Arabidopsis thaliana: one gene and its partners. The protein of the gene in region 4 purifies or fractionates together with the protein of the main gene of each other region. This does not show direct contact. Each region holds a gene or a part of one and is shown on either strand. Other genes may lie near its edges. The genes, in order: RIN1, GTC2, PKL and ARP4.

The links.
Region 1: the proteins of ARP4 (region 4) and RIN1 purify together in Arabidopsis thaliana (affinity purification with mass spectrometry; 2 studies listed by BioGRID, with this or other methods). This does not show direct contact.
Region 2: the proteins of ARP4 (region 4) and GTC2 fractionate together in Arabidopsis thaliana (co-fractionation; one large-scale study listed by BioGRID). This does not show direct contact.
Region 3: the proteins of ARP4 (region 4) and PKL fractionate together in Arabidopsis thaliana (co-fractionation; one large-scale study listed by BioGRID). This does not show direct contact.

What each region holds. Positions count from the first base shown.
Region 1 is NC_003076.8:7,390,261-7,396,125, forward strand, and holds RIN1 (P-loop containing nucleoside triphosphate hydrolases superfamily protein), read right to left. Parts: upstream 4,021-5,865; 5' UTR 3,812-4,020; coding exon 3,722-3,811; intron 3,149-3,721; coding exon 2,960-3,148; intron 2,840-2,959; coding exon 2,708-2,839; intron 2,617-2,707; coding exon 2,467-2,616; intron 2,261-2,466; coding exon 2,105-2,260; intron 1,948-2,104; coding exon 1,813-1,947; intron 1,728-1,812; coding exon 1,662-1,727; intron 1,566-1,661; coding exon 1,459-1,565; intron 1,368-1,458; coding exon 1,268-1,367; intron 1,190-1,267; coding exon 1,098-1,189; intron 1,016-1,097; coding exon 946-1,015; intron 856-945; coding exon 766-855; 3' UTR 536-765; downstream 1-535. Other genes in the region: AT5G22320 (Leucine-rich repeat (LRR) family protein), read right to left, coding at 68-166; AT5G22340 (NF-kappa-B inhibitor-like protein), read left to right, coding at 4,249-4,399, 4,486-4,658, 4,959-5,078, 5,183-5,239, 5,405-5,485, 5,573-5,607, 5,727-5,816. UniProt on the Arabidopsis thaliana protein: Proposed core component of the chromatin remodeling INO80 complex which is involved in transcriptional regulation, DNA replication and probably DNA repair.
Region 2 is NC_003075.7:6,582,712-6,586,783, reverse strand, and holds GTC2 (GTC2), read right to left. Parts: upstream 2,058-4,072; coding exon 1,026-2,057; 3' UTR 522-1,025; downstream 1-521. Other genes in the region: AT4G10660 (CDC68-like protein), read right to left, coding at 3,296-4,072.
Region 3 is NC_003071.7:10,712,080-10,717,107, reverse strand, and holds the start of PKL (chromatin remodeling factor CHD3 (PICKLE)), read right to left. Parts: upstream 3,044-5,028; coding exon 2,969-3,043; intron 2,701-2,968; coding exon 2,557-2,700; intron 2,463-2,556; coding exon 2,325-2,462; intron 2,235-2,324; coding exon 2,080-2,234; intron 1,978-2,079; coding exon 1,816-1,977; intron 1,548-1,815; coding exon 1,333-1,547; intron 1,242-1,332; coding exon 1,146-1,241; intron 1,039-1,145; coding exon 902-1,038; intron 809-901; coding exon 596-808; intron 506-595; coding exon 398-505; intron 237-397; coding exon 186-236; intron 96-185; coding exon 1-95. Other genes in the region: AT2G25169 (uncharacterized protein), read left to right, coding at 3,094-3,177, 3,650-3,765, 4,130-4,194, 4,393-4,502. UniProt on the Arabidopsis thaliana protein: Chromatin remodeling factor that represses the expression of embryonic trait genes (such as NFYB9/LEC1) upon and after seed germination and thus enables the developmental switch to post-germinative growth. Silences some MADS-box proteins such as PHE1 and PHE2.
Region 4 is NC_003070.9:6,346,272-6,352,557, reverse strand, and holds ARP4 (actin-related protein 4), read right to left. Parts: upstream 4,511-6,286; 5' UTR 4,360-4,510; coding exon 4,347-4,359; intron 4,258-4,346; coding exon 4,166-4,257; intron 4,051-4,165; coding exon 3,886-4,050; intron 3,809-3,885; coding exon 3,735-3,808; intron 3,660-3,734; coding exon 3,579-3,659; intron 3,489-3,578; coding exon 3,428-3,488; intron 3,291-3,427; coding exon 3,241-3,290; intron 3,099-3,240; coding exon 3,044-3,098; intron 2,839-3,043; coding exon 2,761-2,838; intron 2,684-2,760; coding exon 2,630-2,683; intron 2,556-2,629; coding exon 2,502-2,555; intron 2,433-2,501; coding exon 2,372-2,432; intron 2,217-2,371; coding exon 2,165-2,216; intron 1,817-2,164; coding exon 1,750-1,816; intron 1,625-1,749; coding exon 1,562-1,624; intron 1,478-1,561; coding exon 1,415-1,477; intron 1,319-1,414; coding exon 1,256-1,318; intron 1,161-1,255; coding exon 1,096-1,160; intron 1,008-1,095; coding exon 939-1,007; intron 838-938; and 3 more. Other genes in the region: AT1G18440 (Peptidyl-tRNA hydrolase family protein), read right to left, coding at 4,872-4,985, 5,061-5,137, 5,221-5,279, 5,459-5,532, 5,618-5,668, 5,782-5,849, 6,071-6,155, 6,226-6,286. UniProt on the Arabidopsis thaliana protein: Involved in several developmental processes including organization of plant organs, flowering time, anther development, flower senescence and fertility, probably by regulating the chromatin structure.

The DNA of each region.
Region 1 (5,865 bases), on a different chromosome or scaffold from region 4:
TAAACAATTAGGGTTTCGTATCAATTTCTACTTGGGAACAGAGTTTCAGAACAGAAACAATACTCACGTCGGTGAGAGCTTTATGGCCGAGATTAAGTTCCTTGACGGAATCTGGGTCATTGGTCTTCTTCTCTTTCAATACTTGTTCAACGGTTAACGAATTCATCGCCGTCTTCGTCTTCTTCCTTGTCACACAAAACCCTAGTCTTTTGGTTTCACCTTATTCAAAAGATTGTCTCTGTTCCCAACCGTGATAAGTCTTTACCCAAAAACCCCACAGTTTTCTATTGTTTATACATTTGACCTTGTTATTATTGTACGGATCAGGGACACCCTCTTATGGTACTCCTCCCACTTTGATCCTCAAGTTTTATAATCTCCGACTCTGCTGACTCTGTTCTGATAATAGAGTTTTTTTTCTTTCTTTTTGGCGCAACATCAACTTTTAACAGTAACCAAATAGACAATTACACAATGTTATGTTCCACAAACAGTTTGATCTTGAATAAGTGTATTGTAATGTAACAAGGGAACTCAATATGAAACCAAAAGTTTGAATCTCACGACCATGTATGTGTATACACGTGAAACCATATTTCAGTTTTCATTAGTTAGCACCACAAACAAAAAAATAGCACATAAATAAATGAATTCAGAGAAACCAAATTGTAATCCCATTAGACATTCTCCATATTCCGACATTACAAAATAAAACGACAGAAAAATTATGAGATGTTTCAACAAAATGTGCGATTAGTGTTCTTCTCATGAGATGTATTTTTCTTGTTGCTCATGCAAAAGCTTTGCTGAAGATTTAGCATCCAAGTAGAGTGATGTTACTTCCTCTATATCAGCCTGTCAAAATTTAAGATGAAGGATTAATAACATAACATCCACATATTTTACATTTGTTTTATTGTTCTAAGATTTCACAAGTAAATCTACCTTGCAAATATTGTCACGGCCATTCATTTTCGCTACAATGCTGGCAGGAGACAGAAGCTGCACAGCGTGCCTGAGAGTGAAAGCACAAAAAAGGTTTTAGTATTTAGATTCACGAACAGAAATTTTGCTTAGAAAAGCAATGATGACAGTACCTTAGTGAAGTTCTTTGCCCAATCTCCCCAAGTAGAACCAAGCATTCTTCATCCACGGTTAATTCTTCAACTTGCGCACGAATGGCTATAATCTGTGAACAAAATGATAAATCTATTAGAATGTTGTTCGTAGTAATTGAAATCCAAAAGCTAAATGACAATTGAGTAACCTGGATCATTTCAGAGGGATCATAGATTTGAGTCCGGATGATAACCAATCGATCTAATAGATCAATAGGGACTCCATGGGGGCTGGGCATATCAGTCCCTCTGCAAATAAAGTAAATCACAGTACCAAGTTAACAAAAACTCACAAGATTTCCAAAGGAAAATGTCTATCAAGGTCTAGCGCTCTTCTCACCTTACGTTGCAAACACCTCTATTTGTTGCAAATATCACTATCGGAGATAATGAGCTCTCAAGAGCACGGTTCAAGTATGAGAAGCACTCCATATCAAGCATATGAACCTGAGGTTTTATAATTAAACAAAGGTATTCTTACTGCTCCTGAGTCCTGAGCAAGATCAATAGTGGAATGAAAAAAAACTTTATTTGGGAAAATACCTCATCAATAAATAGAACTCCTGGAACAAGCTCTGCCACACCTTCATCTATATATCGGTTCACAACCTACAATGGCATATAAAAATATTAGACCTTGCAAAAGAGAAAGTAAGATGCTTAAAAAAATCACCCATGTACTAGCGAAAATCACCTTGTTAATTTCTTGCCGAAGCTTATCAGTGATCTCAGTCTTCCGCGGTTTCATCATTTGGCCCATCAAAGAAAGTATATCCTGGCCACCTTGAGGTCGAGCATTTGCTGCATCCAGATCTTGGAGTGTGACATCCTATCAGTCAAAAGTATATGGTCTAGTTGAGTAACAAGTAGTCTTAATAAACTTAGGAACTAAGGTTAATACACATACAAACTAATACATAACAGATAATAAATCAACAAAGAAAATAATTACTCTACACAGAAGGGAGAGGTCAAAGAAGGTAAACCTGCACTATCTCTTTCTTTTTGTGGACCTCTCCTTTGGGAAGTGGAACATATTCTTCTGCTTCCAGATCAAATTCAGTGGCAAAAGCATCACTTCTACCTACCCGTTTGACAGCTCCACTGTTTGCTTCGATATAGATTACATCTCCTACAGCTACCTGAGAGGCAAACAGCAAAAATATAAAAAGAAACCAATCAGAATGACAAAGTAATCAGCAAATTCATACACAATTGTCCCCACAGAATGACATCGTTAGAAAACCAAAAAGGTGAAAAGAAAAGCAGGTTTTGGAACAAACTGAAAAGCAAAAACTTAGGGGAAAATACCACATCCAAAGCATAGCATCGCATGCCAAGAACTGACCTTTTCCTTAATCAAGGCATCATAGATAGTGGGATCCAATTTCAGATGTTTGGTTCCTTTGACTGTCTTGAGTGTAATTACAACATGGCTGATGCTTTTACCATAACCTCCAGTGAGGCTTTCAGTTTCTTCTGGTGACAGCTCGGTGACCTAGAACACAAGGACAACATGTCAAAAACCAATTAGCGAGACATGCTATTGCATAAGAACACAGCAAAAGAAACCGCAAATAGCAACACACCTCCCCTTCATAGACTTCTTTGGTTTCCTTGATACGTAGACCAATGGCACGTCTAAAATTCTCCATGAGAACCTCTGTTTTCTTAACCTCTGATGAGTAAACCTCAGATCCAACCATTGGACAGAATGGAACCTGCAAGAAAGAAACAATCCAGATAAAATAAGCTAAAAGTAAAAGAAAAAAGCTTCATACAATGAAGCCATGTGGAAACAATGTAACAAAGAAGATACAAAATGAGACATCCAAAATTACCTTGCTTCCCAGCTCTTGAGAGATTCCAAGAGCCAAAGCTGTTTTCCCAGTTCCAGGAGGTCCAGCAAGCAAAAGAGCCTTGCCCGCCATTTTCTTCTGCTTAATCATGTCAACTACAAGACCAGCTGCCTCTCTAGCCTCAAGTTGACCAACAAATCCAGCTGCCAATTTTATAGGGATACCAGTTGGCTAGAAAAAGAGACGCAACATTAGCAACAGAAATGATGTACTGGTTATAGAACGAGATCACACAGATGCTTGAGAAACTACAGTCAGTAAAAGAAGCAAAGATAGTTAATTAAAATCAAAGTGCCGTGCCAAAGTGGAAGAGCAAAGGTCTTCAAACATCGGTCAAGTACTATATATTTCATAAAATACATGTATTAAAATTGAATATTTGCAAATCAAAACTAGAGTATAATTGTGCTAGAGCCGAAAAAAGAGTCTCGGAGAATACCAAACGAAGCAATGAGCTTGAAACCCCTAAAAATCATTAAACTTTAAACACAAAACCTTAAAGAACTTTGAGCAATACGAGAATACTGCAATGCATCTTATCCCCAGAAAAGTCGAAACTTTACAAATGAAAACTAGGGTTTGTTTGTGCTAGAACAGAGAAAAGAAACTCTAAGCGTAGTACCAAACGAAGCAAATAGCTTTAAAACCCTAAAAAAGCTTAGAACATAAAACCTTAACTAAACCCTAAACTCGAGCAAACTACTGGAATCCACTAGAGTCAAAGAGAGAGAGGAGAAGGAGCACCTCGAGGCCAAGGCCTTTGATATGGGTGTGAGTAGCAATCCGTTGTTTCTTAGCGGTGGACTGAATTTCTTCAATCTTTACTTTCTCCATCTCCGTCAACTACAATTACTTTGATCTGCTTTAGGTCTTTTGTTGTATTCTCCGACGACGAAAACGACGGCGGAAAGTTTTGAGCTTTATTGAGTTTGCAACGCCTCCCTCTGACTCCAAATTGCCAAAACCTCTTCCTAACAAAGTTTATATGTTAAACATGTTGTTGCAACAATGGGCCTTTATATTATCCTTTATTTACAAAATCACCCCACACTTCCTAAACTCAGAAATAGAAAGAAAACGAAAACAATTAGAGAAAAGGGCGAAACAAAAAGACAGGACTCAATAGTCATAAATGTAAATTAAGGGGTGAAATTATAATATATGAATAATAAAAGGGTCTTCTTTTTGGAAACTTTCTTTCTCTTCATCAACAATAGTGATAAGCTTCTTCTTCTGGAAAAAAACCAGAGGCCGTCTCACTCTCTCGCTACATGGAGAGTCTCTCGATTCCCGCCGCTTCTTGGTTTTCCGGCGGAACCATTCCTCCGACGAAGGTGAGAGTTTCTCCGCCGCATCATCTCCGGCGACCTCCCAACAGGAATTCCCATCGCTTGGCCGCCATTAATGCCGCTTCTCGCTCTGGTGACAATCTCTCTCTCTACATTGAACCTTACTACTCAAATGTTCGCTCTTTGTGGAAAATTTCATGTCTTTTGCTTTGTTTTTAGTGAGTGAGCTAGTGGAGGAGGATGTGTTGCAAATGTTCATGAAAGACAGAGAAGAAAATGGAGATTTCATATCTAAAGTTTCTGATAGGCTCTGGTTAAAGGAGATTCTCGAATCTATTGATGTTAATTCCAATGGAGCTTCTTCTTCAGCTGTTGAACTAGATGATACTCGGGTTAAGTTTCTTTCACTTGTTCATTAGTAACTGTAGCTAGTTTTTTTTCTTCAGTTCTAAGTTTGCTTTTGACGATTAAAATTGCTAACTTTGTATCGAGGAATAGTTTGATAGTTATATGATCCTGTTGCAATTGTTATGTGAGTGACTACATTTTTATGAAATCCAGTATTGGTTTGTGAATTTCTGAAATCTCACAAATTTATAGCTTTCATGGCAACAATCTTATACTTGGTACTGTTACTTTGGTTGGTAACTTGGTATAGCTCCTTTATTAATGTCTTTATGTTGTATATGCAGGAAAGCTTGATAGATGGCGCTGATGATGATGAAAGTGGTTTCTTGAAACTTAAACCGACACAAGAATGGATTGGTTGGGAGAGTGATTCTGCCCCCATGAATAAGAAAGCTCTAGCTAAGGTTGGTCATCTATTTATGAATGTTCTTGTTCTCTGTATTCATTCATTCACACGTCCTTCTCATTGCAAAACTCTGCTGCGTTTGTCCTACTTCCTTGATTGCAGGCACTACGAGATGACAGCGAGAGAAGGAAGAAGTTTAACTTTCTGAAATATGAAGCTGTATGATTATTCCTTTCAGTATGTTTTCTTAATTAGTCTGCCAGTCAGATCTTTATGATTCAACAAAACACTCTATTATGCAAAATGGCTGTTCAGTATGTACCAGTAGTCAATTTGTGTAGAATGAACTTTGAAATTGCTGCGTTTGTGTCTTTATTTTTGTAGCTGAAGCGTGAACTCATGTACCTGTCGATTGTAATTGGAACTGGATGCAGCGGATACTGTTTACTAGCTTTATCAGTTCAGGTAAGCTCTGTCAAAGCTCTAACCAGTTTATACTATGGCTTCTCTATACGAAAATGTGTCTGAAAGAAATATTCTGACATATGACAGGCTGCAGTCAGTTATGCAGTTGGGGTTCTATTCAGGTTAGTTGTCTATTTTAATTGGTTTGTACATAAATAGACCTTGACGTTGTAAGATATAGTTCTGCAACATGCTTGATCGAGCACTCGCGTATTCCTAACCAAATCTGATCATAGTGCAGTTGCTTGTACCTTCAGCTTTTGTATGGATACGCTGATGGTCTATCACGTGAAGCTGTTCCTGATATCTTCCTGAAAAAAAAGTCTAAAAAGTAAAGACCTTGACAACTTTTTAGTCTGGTCACGTTTTCTTCTCACTTC
Region 2 (4,072 bases), on a different chromosome or scaffold from region 4:
ATACCAGAGAGAGTTGTGTATATAAGCTAATTAAGTTGAAGTTGATGCATGGGTGATGAAGACAAGATCAGCATCAGCAGGGAGATGGGTGAATGAGCTTGTGAGCTTTGATGTGTTTTGTCTCTTAGACATCGTCGATTGGAAACCTTTCTATTGCTTGTCCCACAGGAAACTCACCACCACTAATAGTGGGAACATCTTCGTATCTCATAATAATAATGGTGAATCCAAGATTTCTTTAATAACTTAAGTATTCATTTTTACCTTTTGGTTTATGGCATACCCTTTAATTATTTACAAGACCAACCGTTAGAGGATGCCACAATGGTATTTTCTGCCAATTTAAGTCGAAACAAATTTTATTAAGAACGACAAGAAACCTAAGACTTCATTATTTTCCCAAGGGCATAGAATAGATAGATAATAATCTAAAGCAGTTTTTTTATATGATACAAAAGATAAGCAGAACAAAAGGCTAAAATGATAAGCAAGCAGAACTCAAACTCTTGATTATTTTGTTTTCACCGGTGCCTGCTGCGTTTAGATGGTGGCATGTTCTTCATGCTGCTACTACCGCCTGCACCGCTACTTCCAGGACGCGATTTCCCAAACGCTTTCATCTTCCTTCTCTTCCTCTCTTCCTCACTATCAGACTCAACTCCATGCTCTCTGTCTGCATTAGTAGCTTCTCTCTCCAGCTCAGCCCAAGTCTTACCTTTCTCTTCCTCTGACTCTTGCTCTGAGTCCTCTTCTTCTTCTTCATCGTCTGACTCACTCTCTGATGTCTCGTCCTCTGACTCAGACTCAACCTCCACATCTGATGGTTCATACCCTTTGTCTGAGTCCTCAGAGCCGCCAGACTCTGAATCGCTTCCGTCCTGATTCAAAAACTCCCATCCTCCAGCATCTGTAAAGCTCTGCGGATCATCCGTGATCGTCTTCAGGATCTGTCTCCAGTTCAGATTCAGTTTGCTCTCGTAGTACTTTATATCTGTAGTGTCAAGCCATTCCTTTATCCCCTCTAACTAACTTGTTGGAACTGAGTCAACCCTAAGAACATCTTTCTTCAAGTCCTTGAAGATGATAGCCATGTCAAAGCTCTTTTGACCAAACCCAACTCTCTCAAGATTCACAATCTCAATCTCACTTAGACAGACCACCAAGAACGGGGATTCTGTCAGCTCAACTAAGCAGCTTGAGGTCGGTATTATGAAGGTAGATGTCTTGTGGGGGACACCATTGAAACCAAACTCTCTCAGAGGTTGATCAAACTCTAAGCTCAAACTTGCAAACTGGGGTAGTTGCCACATATCGTTGACCTGATTTGCAAAGTGATTGAAATCCATGTTGATCTTATTTTTCCTATCGCGCTCTCTCTGTTCTTCAACAATCTCATCTGCATCATAAGCTGATGATCTCCTCCTACCTCCTAAAGACTGCACAACATCCATTACCTCCACATAAAACTGTACGTCTTTTGTTTTCTTGGTTCCTACCATGATGTGGTTGTGGAGATGAAAATGTAAGAGGGTGGTCATCTCCTTCTCCGCCGGCTGAAAAAACGCATGCTTTATGTTTGCAAACAGGACATCAACGCGCTCGTTGGTCGTTGAATACCTAAAACCATTGACATGAGCTTCAAGTGTCCCACGATTCTTCTTGCGTCCACTAAAAGGCGGACGGATCCACAGATTGGACAAACTTAAGGGTTTTGAGTTGTTCCTTACAATCTGAAGTTTTTCTTGGTTCACCAGTGAAGTTCTCTCAGCTCTCTCTGACTCCCGTGCCATGACTTTCCGTCTGAGGCTCTTAACCTGTTGAACTACATCGCTGCTATGCCTTGAATCCTTGGTCCGGAATGAAACCTCCTTGAGGTAGATAGCGTCCTTGTTTTTCAAAGAGTCATTAGGGTTTAAGGGTGTACCCGGGACATTGAATATTACACGGATGGTGTTTTGATTGCCTAAGACTGTTCTTATTGTAGTCACGTTGAATGGAACCATCCTGCCGTATATTGGTAACAATACAGTGTCGCTCTTGTGATCAACCGTGATCATCAAATCCCTAGGTTGGGGTATGTCGTTAATATTCTTGTAGAGCTACATGTCACCAGCAAGCTGATCGAATACAACCACAGACCAAGAATCAAACTTCAAGTAATAAGCCTCTTTATAGAACTGAAAGAGAACAGAAGAAAAAAAAACGTAAGAAAGTAAACTTCAACGAGAACAAGTTATTTCGGATGCCTCTTCTAAGAAGAAAACAATCTCTATTTATAAGAAAACGTAAACACAAACATAAAGAGAAAAGGAAATAATAAAAAGGAAGAAATCTTTTTTATCATTAAAATCTGTTTCTATATAAATGTAGTTTAAGGGTTTTTATTTCTTTTTCAAATTGTTTTCAACTTTATATACAAATAATAAATATATTTAATACTTTTTAACCAATTGTATTTAATCATATATTTTTTATTGGTTGAATTGGTTATAATTAATGATATTTTTTATATAAAAAAGTAGATTAAATGAGATTTTTATGATTTCTTAATATGTGTGTAAATATCTTAAACTACAACTAATATAAAACAGAAGAAGTATTAAGTTATATATATATATATATATGTCATACTAATAAATCATGAGGAGATCTAGGGTTTAGAAACTGTAAATCATAACCTCTTCAAGAACATATGTAGCTCTCGATCGTTTTTCTTTCTTCATATCCTTCTTTCGTTTCCATCTGCGACCTCCTTCCCTAATCTGCAGTTCATATTATTGATGGTCGATGAAGAAAGGAGGAACATGATAGTACAAACTTGTCCATGCTCAGACGACGGCTAGGGTTTTGAATCAGAGAAAATTAAAAGAGAAATTTTGTTGTTGTGATTACTTTTTTTTTTTGGGTATGATCTTTAATTTTATTTTATTCTTATGAAAATTAAATTCTCAATAGGATTAATAAAATTAGCATTAGTATGTCACAAAAAGGGTATATCTTCATGTTAAAGGTTTTGGCTAGAATTACGGTTTGAATGATATGAAAATTCAATCACATGCAAAAGACTATGGAAGTTAAACAATAAAACTGTTTACATAGCCTCAAATCATTCACATACAAAGACTTTGAAAGCTAAAACATAAAGCTTAACAGTACTGAATCTTAAAGTCGCCATAAGTTTCACACATGCTATGATCAAATACATATATCAAATAAAATAGGAAAACTCAAAGCTAGCTTCACTTACCTTTACCATCATCCATTTGCTTATCATTTCATCACATCTAAGATGTCCTTAGACGGTGGCTCGATCCAGACTCCTAAGAGGGCAAAGTTCTTTCTGCATTTGCCATATTGTTGGTTTTGGAAGCTGCTTACGCGGATAGTACCTGGCTTCATCAAACGAGTAGGATACACATCCCTTGCAATCTAAACCATACTTTGGGAAGTACACACTGTTCCTCATCCCAAGAACATCCAATCTCGTCTCCGAGGAATACATACTTGCAAAGATTGTCACGCCGTCAAGAGTAGTACTATTTATCTCCTCCCAATTTGAGGAGACAAGTTTATACACCATCGGTATCTCGCTGCTACATGTATACATGAGAAAGAGCTCTCCTTTCTGCTCAGCCAAGTAAATTCTCTTCGGAAGATTAAACCATTCTGCATTATCATTACGCATATAAGCGCATCTATGTTCATTCCATGCTTGTTCACTCATTGTGCGGGAAGCTACATCAAAGTCAACTAAAACACCTCCTGAGCTAAAACAATAGAAGTGATCGTTGGCATAGACAAGGTTGCTATGCATGTATGGGTCAAATCTAAGAGAGCATGAAAATTCTTGAGTAATCCACTCAGTTGCTCCAGGATAGCAAATGCTTATACGGATGATATATCTTGTAAAAGGTCTTAACGCTAACACCACACAAGTACCTGATGTAGGGGCCGAAGAGAAAGCAATCGCTTGAAAGGCCAACTCACACTTTGGCAAGTTTATAAGCTCCCTAGTATACGGGTTGAAGAAGAACATGTCCACTAAACTGGATCTTCGCATAAGCAACCATCC
Region 3 (5,028 bases), on a different chromosome or scaffold from region 4:
AGCAAATGTGGAGCCAACATTTTGTGCAACCTTGAGATCTGCTCCTCTTGATTAATATCTTTGAACTCCTCCTGGAACTCCTCCAAACTTCCAAACTGCAAGTATTGTGCAATCAAATAACATGTTAGCTACATAAAATTCTGTTAAGTATGCGAACTTATTTATCTTTGCTATTCTTGTGATACCTTCCCCGCATCAAGAAAATGCATGAGCATGAAAAGTTCATCCAAGTTGTTCTGTAAAGGCACCACATAATCATCAGTAACATATTGCAACTAATCAGGTAAGACATTAGTGCAAGATAATATATAACAATTCTCATTGCAAATCGTAGCTACTATGCTCAGATACAACTATTGAAAGTATAAACTTCAGAAATCAAACTCAAATGACGAACCTGAAGTGGTGTTCCTGTCAGAAGAATACGGTGGTTACTTGAATACTGTGTCAATGAAGAGAACAGCTTTGAATCCTTATTTTTCAGTCGATGACCTTCATCAACAATCTGCCCAAAACAATTGTTACTAGGCAACATGTAAGAGAGAAAGAGAGACGACTAAGAGAAAGTAAAGTCTCATTAGAGAATAAGAGTTACCATGCACTCCCACTTAATTGGTTTTAGAACTGCTGAATCTAGGTTGATCATCTCATACGATGTGAGGAGGACATCAAACTTGATTCTTTTTTGCTTGCTTTCGCTACTTATTTGTCCAGATTTCTTTTTCTTGATCTTTTTTTGATCTTTCGATAAGTAAAACTCATGTTCTCTGATAACTGCTCGAGCTTGCGCAGTGCCAAAATACATAACCTACCCGTCAAATGACCACGAAGACCATTCCATTAACAAACAACAAAAACATACAAATGGCACAGATCATTGCGTGTATAACTGCATACATACCACGTTCATCTGTGGGGCCCATGTGGCAAACTCTCTCTCCCAGTTACGCAGAGTCGATAGAGGAGCAATTACCAAATGCGGAATGAGGTTCTCCTCAAAAAGTGAAGCTAAAAGGGCAATGCTTTGAATTGTCTTGCCTGTAACAGGAAAAATCTCACAACATTACAGGAATAGAAAACAAAGGCCCCTTACAATGGATGAAAAGATCTATGTGACCACCCAAGTGGGACAATTGAAAAATTACCTAGTCCCATTTCATCAGCAAGGATTACATGCGTCTGTTTTGACCACGAGAACCGCAAAAAATTAAGTCCCTCAAGCTGGTATGGATGTAACAAGCCTTCAATCGCAGGAAACAAATAAATCATAACATCTATAAGTACCAAATATAAGAAACATTTATAGTATATGATTTAAGGTGATCCAAATACCTTTGAGGAATTCAGGAGTATGATCAAACTGTTGAAAGTCTCTGGGATTTCTTTTATGGTCAACATCTTTACTTCTGCGAGTTCTAGAATTTACATCCTTGAACCTTTGAATTTCATTCTGGAAGGTTGAGATGTCTGATTCTGACTCCCAATAACATTCATCATAGGATAGCTCTTTATATTTGACAAGATATTCCAGCTCCCCATCTTCCTCTCTATATCATAAAAGAAACCAATGCAACTGTCACAATTCCTGATTTACGAAACAACTAAGAAAATGGTAACTTAAAAAGAAGAAAAAAAAGGTAAGCAGGTCATTTATCATGTTTCAGAGACCCAAAATCGTGATAACAGTAAATTTAGGTTAAGCAGCACTCTATCAAAGATACGTGTTTATTAGAGAATGGATTATGCTGAAAACAAGGATATTAAAAAAAAAGTTGGCAGATAGATAAATAAAGGAATTAATTCCATTCTCTAGACCTGCAGGCAAGAATCCGATCAACAGTGGTCCACTCAGGACGTATGGCAACAAAATCATCTTCGCTGTTATTGAATGACTCCATTTGACGGTGAAAATTGTTCACTCTGGTTTTTAAACGATGATTTGACTTATAAGCCTTCTGGAACTCCTTCTCAGGCACCCTATGATTAGTAAAAGGAAATAAATCACATATTATAGTGTTCACAGAAAGAAACATTGATAATTAGCGTGTCCAGACAGCAAAAAAGACACGCAGTAACTACCAAGAGCAGTGAAGGTATGATAATCCCTTCCACTTCACGAGATACTGTTTCACAAAAATTGGCTTCGGTTCCGCATCGGAGGAACCTTGTTCACTAGATTTTGTAGGACGCATTTCACAATCCAATATCTTATCTATCTCGTTAAGAGGACTAACCTGCAAATGTAAACAACAATTCTTCCATGTAAGAAAAATGGAACCTGTAGCATCCCAAAACATAATTGTGGACCGTAACTAAAATCTTACACATTCAGGGCATCTCCAATTTTCCACGGAAGCATCTTTAAGAGGTGGAACTAAGCATTTAGCATGGAACGCATAAGTGCATGTATTGCAGCTTACAAGATTAGTACTTTCCCCACAAGCCTGACATGCATTTTCTTTCTACAAATTCAGAGTAACAACACAAAAAAAAGGATTAAAATAGAACACATAAAACAGTAAAAGCTGAACAATAAGCTCGAGAGGAGAAACAAACCGCATCAGTTCTGACAATAGCCTCGACTTGCTCAAAGGTTCGATCTTTTTTAGGAACGAAGTCGTCATCATCAGAATCATCTAGGTTATAAACTGGTTTCCTATCAGATCGTATGCGAAGCCTCTCCACCAAACTACTCATTTTCTGCACACAAAACATATCTCCCATCAATAACAACAAACTTACATAAACAACACATATAACAATAGACTCAGTGCTAGTTCTGAGACTTAAGCAAACTATGAAATTAGAGTTTCACACAATTGAACTCTACTACCTAAACAAACATCACAGTGAAATTTTTTGTTCCCAATCTAAAACCTTTACAACTATATCAAGAGATAGTTCGTACAATAGCTACTAAACAACTCGATTCATCAAACTCTATACCACATGAGCAAGATCGACTAACCTTGTGAAAGAGAACGAGAGAGAAATTGGAAAAAACCCTAGCCAAAATTACCCATAAGAATAAACAATTGAGCATCGAAATGTGAGTACCCAGAAGTCGAATTAACAATCTCTTACCGCAATATCATGAAAAGATCAAAACTTTACAAAACCCAAACAGTTTCAAACTCAGTTTGTAACGAAAATTTGAAAGAAAGGAAGAGAAAAATAGTAACTTGAGAAGTAATTTGAGAAGTCGAAAGCGATATTACTAGTCGAAGATAGAGTAAAAAGTGAAGCAGAGAAGAGTGTGGAAGAGAAGGAGAAGACGAACCTTTGAAATGGTTGGGATCTGTTTTTGCAGAAGAAGAAAGTAATCCGAAACGAACGAAACTTGAAAATTCAGACAACACAAATGATTTCTAACATTTAGCTTACCAATTTTAACTTATGGTTATTATTAACTTTAATACACTTCTTAAGGTATAAAATATCACCTCTAATTAAATTACCTTCTCAATATCATTATTTTTTCACACACAAAAAACTTACTTTTTTGTTTGAAAAAATTATAATTACTTCTAACTTATAAAAATAAGTGTCAAAAATAATGACAATTACTTTTCACTTACCCAATATTGTTATTATATAAACTTAGATATTTTTAAATATTTAAGTTTATTTACCTTTTCCCCTCAAAGAGGCTAGAGGAAGATTTAACATGCTTTGCTTGGTTTCGCTATTTATCATGGAGCTGAAATCTCTTGACGTGGGTTCACTCCTTGTTGGTGCTAATTATGGAGAAGATTTTGAGACAAGGTTTAAAACAATATTGAAGGAAGTATATGCTTCGAATGGGCAAACAATCTTGTTCATTGATGAGATTCACATTGTTATTGGTGCAGGTGCTCTTTCTTTTTTTGATTCAGATTATACATTAATAGATGACCTTTTTATTTATACACAATACTTGTATGCATTTTTTTACTCTGACCAAGTAAAACGTTTTGTATAAATGGTTTTGATGGGTGGTAACTCTATAAAAATGATTTTTCATCTCATTAGAAGAATACTGCATCGAACAATTATTGAGGATTAACACTGGAGATGAACAATTATGTCTACTAAGTATTTCTTGTATAATCTTGTGTCTCTATACTAATGAGTTATTACTCTTGTGTAGGAGCTACTTGTGGAGGCGTGGAGCAATAGAAGCGAGCAACTTCTTGAAACCGTTGCTTAGACCAGGTGAGCTGAGATGCATTGGTGCAACTATGTTTGTTATATCCACCTTAACTTATTTAGCTTAAACTTAACCAACCAAACCCACTAACACTTGTGGGGCTATAATTCACTTACGGCCCAATGGCCTTATTACAAAACACAAATCCAACTCCGTTCTTATGTTGGATTTGTGTCGTTGACTCTTCTTCCTCCTTTGGTCAGTGGTCACGACAACTTCTTATTCTCTTCTTCCTCCTTTGGTCACGACATCTTCTTCTTCTCTTCTTCCAAGCTTGGCTTCTTCTCTTTTCTTCATCTTCTTCTTCTCATGAAGCTTTCTTCTTCTTGTAGGATTTAATCTAGGATTCAATCTCCAACGACATTGACCAAAAATATATAGAGAGATATCCAACGCTAAAACGTAGGTTTCAGCAAGTGTTATGTAGTCAACCAACTGTCAAGAACTAATTGCGTAGCCCTTACAATATGTAATAACAATTGTAGCTTAAATTACATGCTTTGTTTTCAGATTTTAACTATTAAATTTTTGGTATATTTCTTTGAAATTTTTTGGATAGTTCACAAACACATTACCATATTTAAATCTGAATTATTATGTGACATCAATATATAGTATAACAAATGATGATGAACTATAATTTAATCGTATGGATACTAGCATAAAGCTTATAAAATGCGTGCTCCGGTGTTATTACACGTGGTCCAAGTTCGACTATAGAATACAATACAAAGGACACAAAATCTTCATGTACAATCAAAAATTATCAACCCCATATCTTATAGTTGGAAACGATCCAAAATAGGTTATATAAATAAAATATATAAAATATGTCAAGT
Region 4 (6,286 bases):
TAATCGGGAATCGAAGAGAAAAGAAACGTTTTTTTTTAAATTGTGAGTGTGTCTTTGGATTGAAATCCGATATATTAGGGGACGCCGGCGATTCTTACCGTCCACAAGAGAAGGTCGGTAAACGTTATTTAGAGAGACGAGACAGAGGTTGACACGTGGGCGTATATAATTGGATGATTTAGAATGTGTCATCTATTGGATTTTGCATGCGGATATGGAGACATGACACGTAAGTCTGTAGTGGCGGAGAAGTTACGTCCATTTTGTCTTTATTATTATTCAGACCATTTTATGATTAATAAAAGTATTATTACTTACCAATATCAATTACATTATTTATATTATTAATAATCTTGTGGTTCAAAACATTTTGCTATTCTATAAAATATGTTCGAAGACCGGAATTTTGGAACTTCGAAGTCATTAGCTTTTTGAGAGGCACGATAAAGCTGATTTTTTCTTCTTTTTTAAAAAAGAAAAAGAAAACTTATGAAGCTGCTTTTTGTAGTTTCGGATTTGTTATTTTCTTGTTAATTTTGTGGATTATCTTGGTTCGTAGTAACAAAACGTGGACGGTCTTGATTGTGCGAAAATCTAATAAAGCAACGAAACTTCTTCCACATGTTTTTATGTTTTTAAAATAGCACTATAATGCTTGTTAATGACACTCATTCTAAAAGGTTCAGGCGGAATACTAATAATCTTCAAGGAACAACGATGCACAATGAAAATAACACATTAGTTTCCAAGTTTCGTCTTGTCAGACTCCACATAATCTGAAACTGCCTGCTTTAAGGGCATTTTCTCTGAATGTAGGAAGCTCCATGTTCCTCATACCTGCCATTTACACCAAGACCCCAAATCCGAGTGTCAGGAGAGAAAACAAACTATAGTTTCTTTGCGAGTCTGATTAATGGAAAATCAGAACAGAGACTTACTCAGACTTGGAGAACCACATCTGTTGAAATGAGCCTAGTGATGCCAATATACTCCCTCCTATCCATACACTGCACATACATAACATGTTTGTTGGTTGATCCAAGCAAAAAAATTTGGGTCTCATTATAGAGGAAGAAGTGAACACTAAATCCAGACCTGAATCTTCTTTCTGTTGTGTTACCGCTTGCCAACACTTTAACTCTAGCTGAGTGAGGAGACTCCTGAAACAAAGATAGAGGGACCAATGAATGATTTTCGCCATCATAAAAACTGGGATAGCTTTAAAGACAGAGGAAAAGAGTTTAGGACACAATACTTCGATCAAGTCCTTTTCGAGACGTTCTTTCAGCTGTTGCATTGACGATGTGCCACCAGCAAGCTGGCATAATGCGAGAAGAAAGGAAATGTTAATCATCCACATCCAACGAAACTAAAAGTAGGGGTATTTAAGAGTTGGCATTGATTGCTATTTTACCAGTATGCTACTATACAACTCTCTCCGGATGTCTACATCACATTTGTTGATGCTCTCCATGACCTGTACAAGTCAGTAAAATGGAGAGTAAAGTTAGAAAAAGTTAAGAGATGGAAGCTTTGCAATGACTAAATACCATGCATATACCATGTGTGGTAACCCACGAACGGAAGGAATCATCTCAGCATACTTCTCCATTCCAGGAATCGTCTGCAAATTGCAATAAAAACGGAGAAGAAACCTTTGATAAATAATTCGAGGCTCAAAACGCTCAAGATAAGAAACAAAATGTCTTCAGAATCTTCTGTTGAATTTATCGTGCTCAAATGGTGTACCTGGACTATGGACGGGTTGAACATCACATCAGGAACTTTGAACCTATCAGCACCAATCTCGAGCGTCCTTCAACAGACATGGTTAATAAGATATTGAGAAAGACTACAAAAATTACAGGTGCAGCTTCCTGTCTTCAATGAAGCTAGCACTTTTTCTTTTAACTTAATTCTCATTATGAACATTAGGTTCCATGCAGGTTTCCAAAGCAATGTCTGACTCTTCTAAACTTTTATGCCCAATGGCTTTAATGACTCAGATCCAACTAAGCACTTATCTCAGCTTAAACAAGGTTCAGAGCAGTGGTACATTTGGCTAGAAACTAAGCTCAAACCTTATACGTAGAAAACAAAAGCAACAGTAGCATGTACATTTGAGGCACAAATAAACCGAAATAGACATATAAACTGAGCTTACTGGCCATCAGGAAGCTCGTACGACGTAGTAGGGATGTTTGAATATGATTTATCTGCAGATAAATGCATCACATCAGAAAAACTAAGGCTATGCGATCAAATGACATTGAAAGATAAAAAGTATCTAACGTTCAACTCTCAAGCAACTTTAAACTTTGAAATAAAACAAATTTATGAAACCAGAGACAGACAGAATAACATAAGGTACCGTCATAGGGAGTATCAGGAACTCGACAAATGGAATCCTTGATATCACCCACTATCATCCTCTGTTGAAACAAATCACCAAATTATCACAACTGAAATTTTCAAACGAAGTTTCATAATCAATTACAGACCTGGCAGAAGAGTTTGTAGCTTTCCGTGGTGTCAGGAATATCCACATCTTCAACCTGCAAGGATTCAAAGGGAGGAAATTAGAGACTATTCACTGCTAGTAGTTTCATTCACTGATCCACATATGCACCTGGAATTCCCCTGCTCGTACTTCCTTCCTCTTGAAAGAGTATCTAGGTCTTATCTGCAGAAAAAATAACCAGTATCACTCAGATAATTTGGCTTAAAAGAAAAGAACAGTGAAGAATTTTTTTAACCTACTTTAATTCCTTTACTCTCCAAGCTTTTCAGTAGGCAGTCAGTGAGAAATTCCCCTCCAAGTGGAGACGATACAACAGCCTGCGAATAAAAGTATGGTCAACAATCGGAGAATCACAATCTACATCAATGCTGTAGGTCATAATTCACATGGATGAGAATTTATAGCAGCTACAGATGACTATGGAAACGAGAGATGGGAAACTTTCTCCTGCAGTACAAAATCCAAACCCAAAGAAACAGCATCACAAAGCTGAATTCTTACTAAATCGTGTAATACAAGTACCTTCTGAAGAACATAACCATCATGCACCGGTGAAATGGTTGTGGATCCTCCACCGCTAGAAATACAATAAAGTGTCATCAGTGCTTCTCAAATTATACACCATACAGAACAAGGTAGACTTTCACAGCATATAGAGCAGAAGTGGAACATTAGTAGCTTCTACATACTAGAGAAACTTTTAATACTTAAAGTCTTACCAGTCAACAACCAAAGAAGTAGCACGCCCAGTAGCAAAAGACGTGAGAACCTAGCACCAAAAACACCAAATTCATGTAGATAGTTAGACATCTGATTACACAAGAGCTGACTGGATATCAACATTACAGTGAACGTCATATAATAATCTATCAAAAAGAATGATGACCCAAGGGAGAGGGAATATACAGGGTTCTTAGCCATAAACAGTGCCGGAACTTTGTACTTTTCAAACATTAGCTCTGCCGCCCTGTCAAGCATATGATTTGAGAAAATCAGTAACACACCAAGATAAAGCAACAGTGGTAATAAAGGATATTTCAAAGCAGATAAATCATACTTCTCTCTCTGCTGTTGAGTGTTTAAAGGAGGCTCAGCTAGCAGCATTGGATGCTCCGTAGGATCAATCATCAGACAACTCCTTAAAAGACAAAGTTTTTTTAGAGATGAAATGCAAACAACAATTAAGAGAAAATATAATGCTTTACACATTTACTTGAAAGCATGTTCCCATATATTGTCCACCAAATCCCAGTCAGAAACGATGCCATCTTTTATAGGTGACAAAACCTGGTGAGAGAAAATGCAATCTGTAATTTCACCAACAAAGTTATAAACTTTAACATTAATCAAGGAGAAAAACTAACCTCCATATGATCTCTGCGGTAGCTCATGGCTTGAGATCCTACATAGAGCTTGCGTTTGCTCTTTTCCTTTTCAGACTCGGTCTTCGAATCCTCAGAGTTCGAATTAGTCTTTGTAGAATCAACATCCACATCCATTGCCTCTACACCATCTACTGCCCCAATAACCTTATGAACACATCAAAAAAAAAACTAAGAGTCTGAAGATACAAGGGACTTGAGCAAATCTACAATAACACCATTAAGCTTATAGTGACATAAAATGCTGGTAATTAAGACTTACGGAAGGGAAAACGGCCTTGGGAGCATCTTCACCGGCGTAACCAGCCTTGCAAGTGTGCGAACCCAAGTCAACCACAATAGCTGACACTTCATCTGTGAAAACCCACCACGGAAAAAAACAGCTCAGGAATGTCTCAAAAGATAAACGACAAAGCAATTCAAGGGTTTAAAGAGAAACCCACCTCCGCCGTACATGGCTGCAGCGAACGACAAGGGTGGAGCGGTTCTCTATCTGAGCTTTGTCGCCGGAGGGTTTAAACACGGGACGGGGTTCTCTGTAATCTCGGATCCAGCTGAATCGGGTCGACTTGGTTTTACTGAGTTCGAGTTGTGGGGACCACAAAACCTCTCATTTAATCCGTCGGGTTTAAATTATTCAAGAAACTAACCGAACCGAACACAATTTTTCTAAACCGAACCAACTTTTGTGACCACCCTTTTTGCAGTAAACGAAGCTGATTTATTGCCAAATAAAATGTCTATGCTTAATGAAAGTGTATAATTTAAATTACAGCCGAACAAATACTGAAATCCATATTTTCGAGTTACATAATAGAAATTATGATAAACAAATAATCTGGTTATCTTTTGATGTACAATTTGCTCAAAAAGGATTCAAGTATGGAACCAAAAAAAAATTATTAATGAATCAGCAAGAACACTTTGTAGTTTGTTATATGAATATATGTAATGTAACAATGTCACTTCTAACTGAGTTGCTCCATAGATTTTCGAGTGTTGACAAATGTTGCACTTTTGTTGAACCCCTCAAGCAAAAGAATCCTTATTGCCTCTAACCCGGTTTGGAATGTGTGATCCAACTGCAAAACCAAAAACAATCAGGTTATGTCTTTCTGAAATTTTTTGAGATAATTATGGGATAAATCTGCTTCTACCTCTTCCTGTTCCTGTCTATTGAACTGGCGGAGAACAAAATTGGCTGTATCCATCTTCCCTGGAGGACGTCCGATCCCTGAAATGAAACATTCGACAATTTGCAAAACCAGAGAAGAAAATGGGAAGATATGTCGGAGTGGAGAAAAATGAGAACTGTACCTATTCTTAGTCGAGGAAAATCACGGCTACCTTTGAGGCGGTCTATAATACTTCTCATCCTGCAAGTAAAAGAACAACCCATCATGTTTTCTTGTAGAGTTTCTCTATGATTTGATAGTGAAACCGCAAACTATTATCCATCCACATTGCTTCTTAAGTAAAAAGTAAGACAATACTTAAAAGTTAAAACACAAATGAAAACATCAACAGGCCAGATAGAGAGTGAAAAGCATTGTACCCATTGTGGCCTCCGTGACCACCTTTTGGCAATAAACGTAGTTTACCAAAGGGCAAATCTAAATCATCGTAAACCTGAAAAAGACAAAAAAAATTAAGACGGCATATGCACTCTAGAGCCAGAATTTGGAGAGTAAGCGAGAGAGAAGGTTAAGTATACCACAAGTACTTGCTTTAACGGGATCTTGTAAAATGAAACGATTTGTCCAACCTTCAAAGAATTCCAGCAATCATAAACAGAAAGAATCAAAATAACAAGTGATAAAAGTTAAAGAGATTGGTTAACTAAATAAACCAAAGTTTGTTTCCGATGAGCTCACTTACAGACTCACCACTTAGGTTCATGAAAGTTTGTGGTTTAGCCAGCATAATCGGTATATTTCCAATAACGCCTATGATAAAGGAAAACAATACCCAAAGTTAGAAACAAACCAGAGACAGAAAATGATATTTATTTCAATATTCATTCTCCGGAAACAGTTAGCCATTGTTTCTATCACCCTCATCAAACATTTGAGACGTATGAAATTTGAAAGTTTCAAACTTTGAGATAAGAAAACCATTTCAAAATGAAAATTCACAATGGAGAAGATAAGAGAATGAAAAAGAGAACCTTTCCCAAACAAGGCCTTGAAGTTAACAGTGTTCATGGAGATGCCTTCTGCATCAGCCAAAGCGTCCACCATCTCAAAACCAACCTGCAATTCATGATCACGTTACCGAGCTGAAAAGGAAAATGCAAAGTGAGAAAGCAAGAGAGAGACATACGTTGTGGCGCGTGCCCTGGTACTTCTTGCCGGGATTACCCAAACCAACAATGAGCCATGGC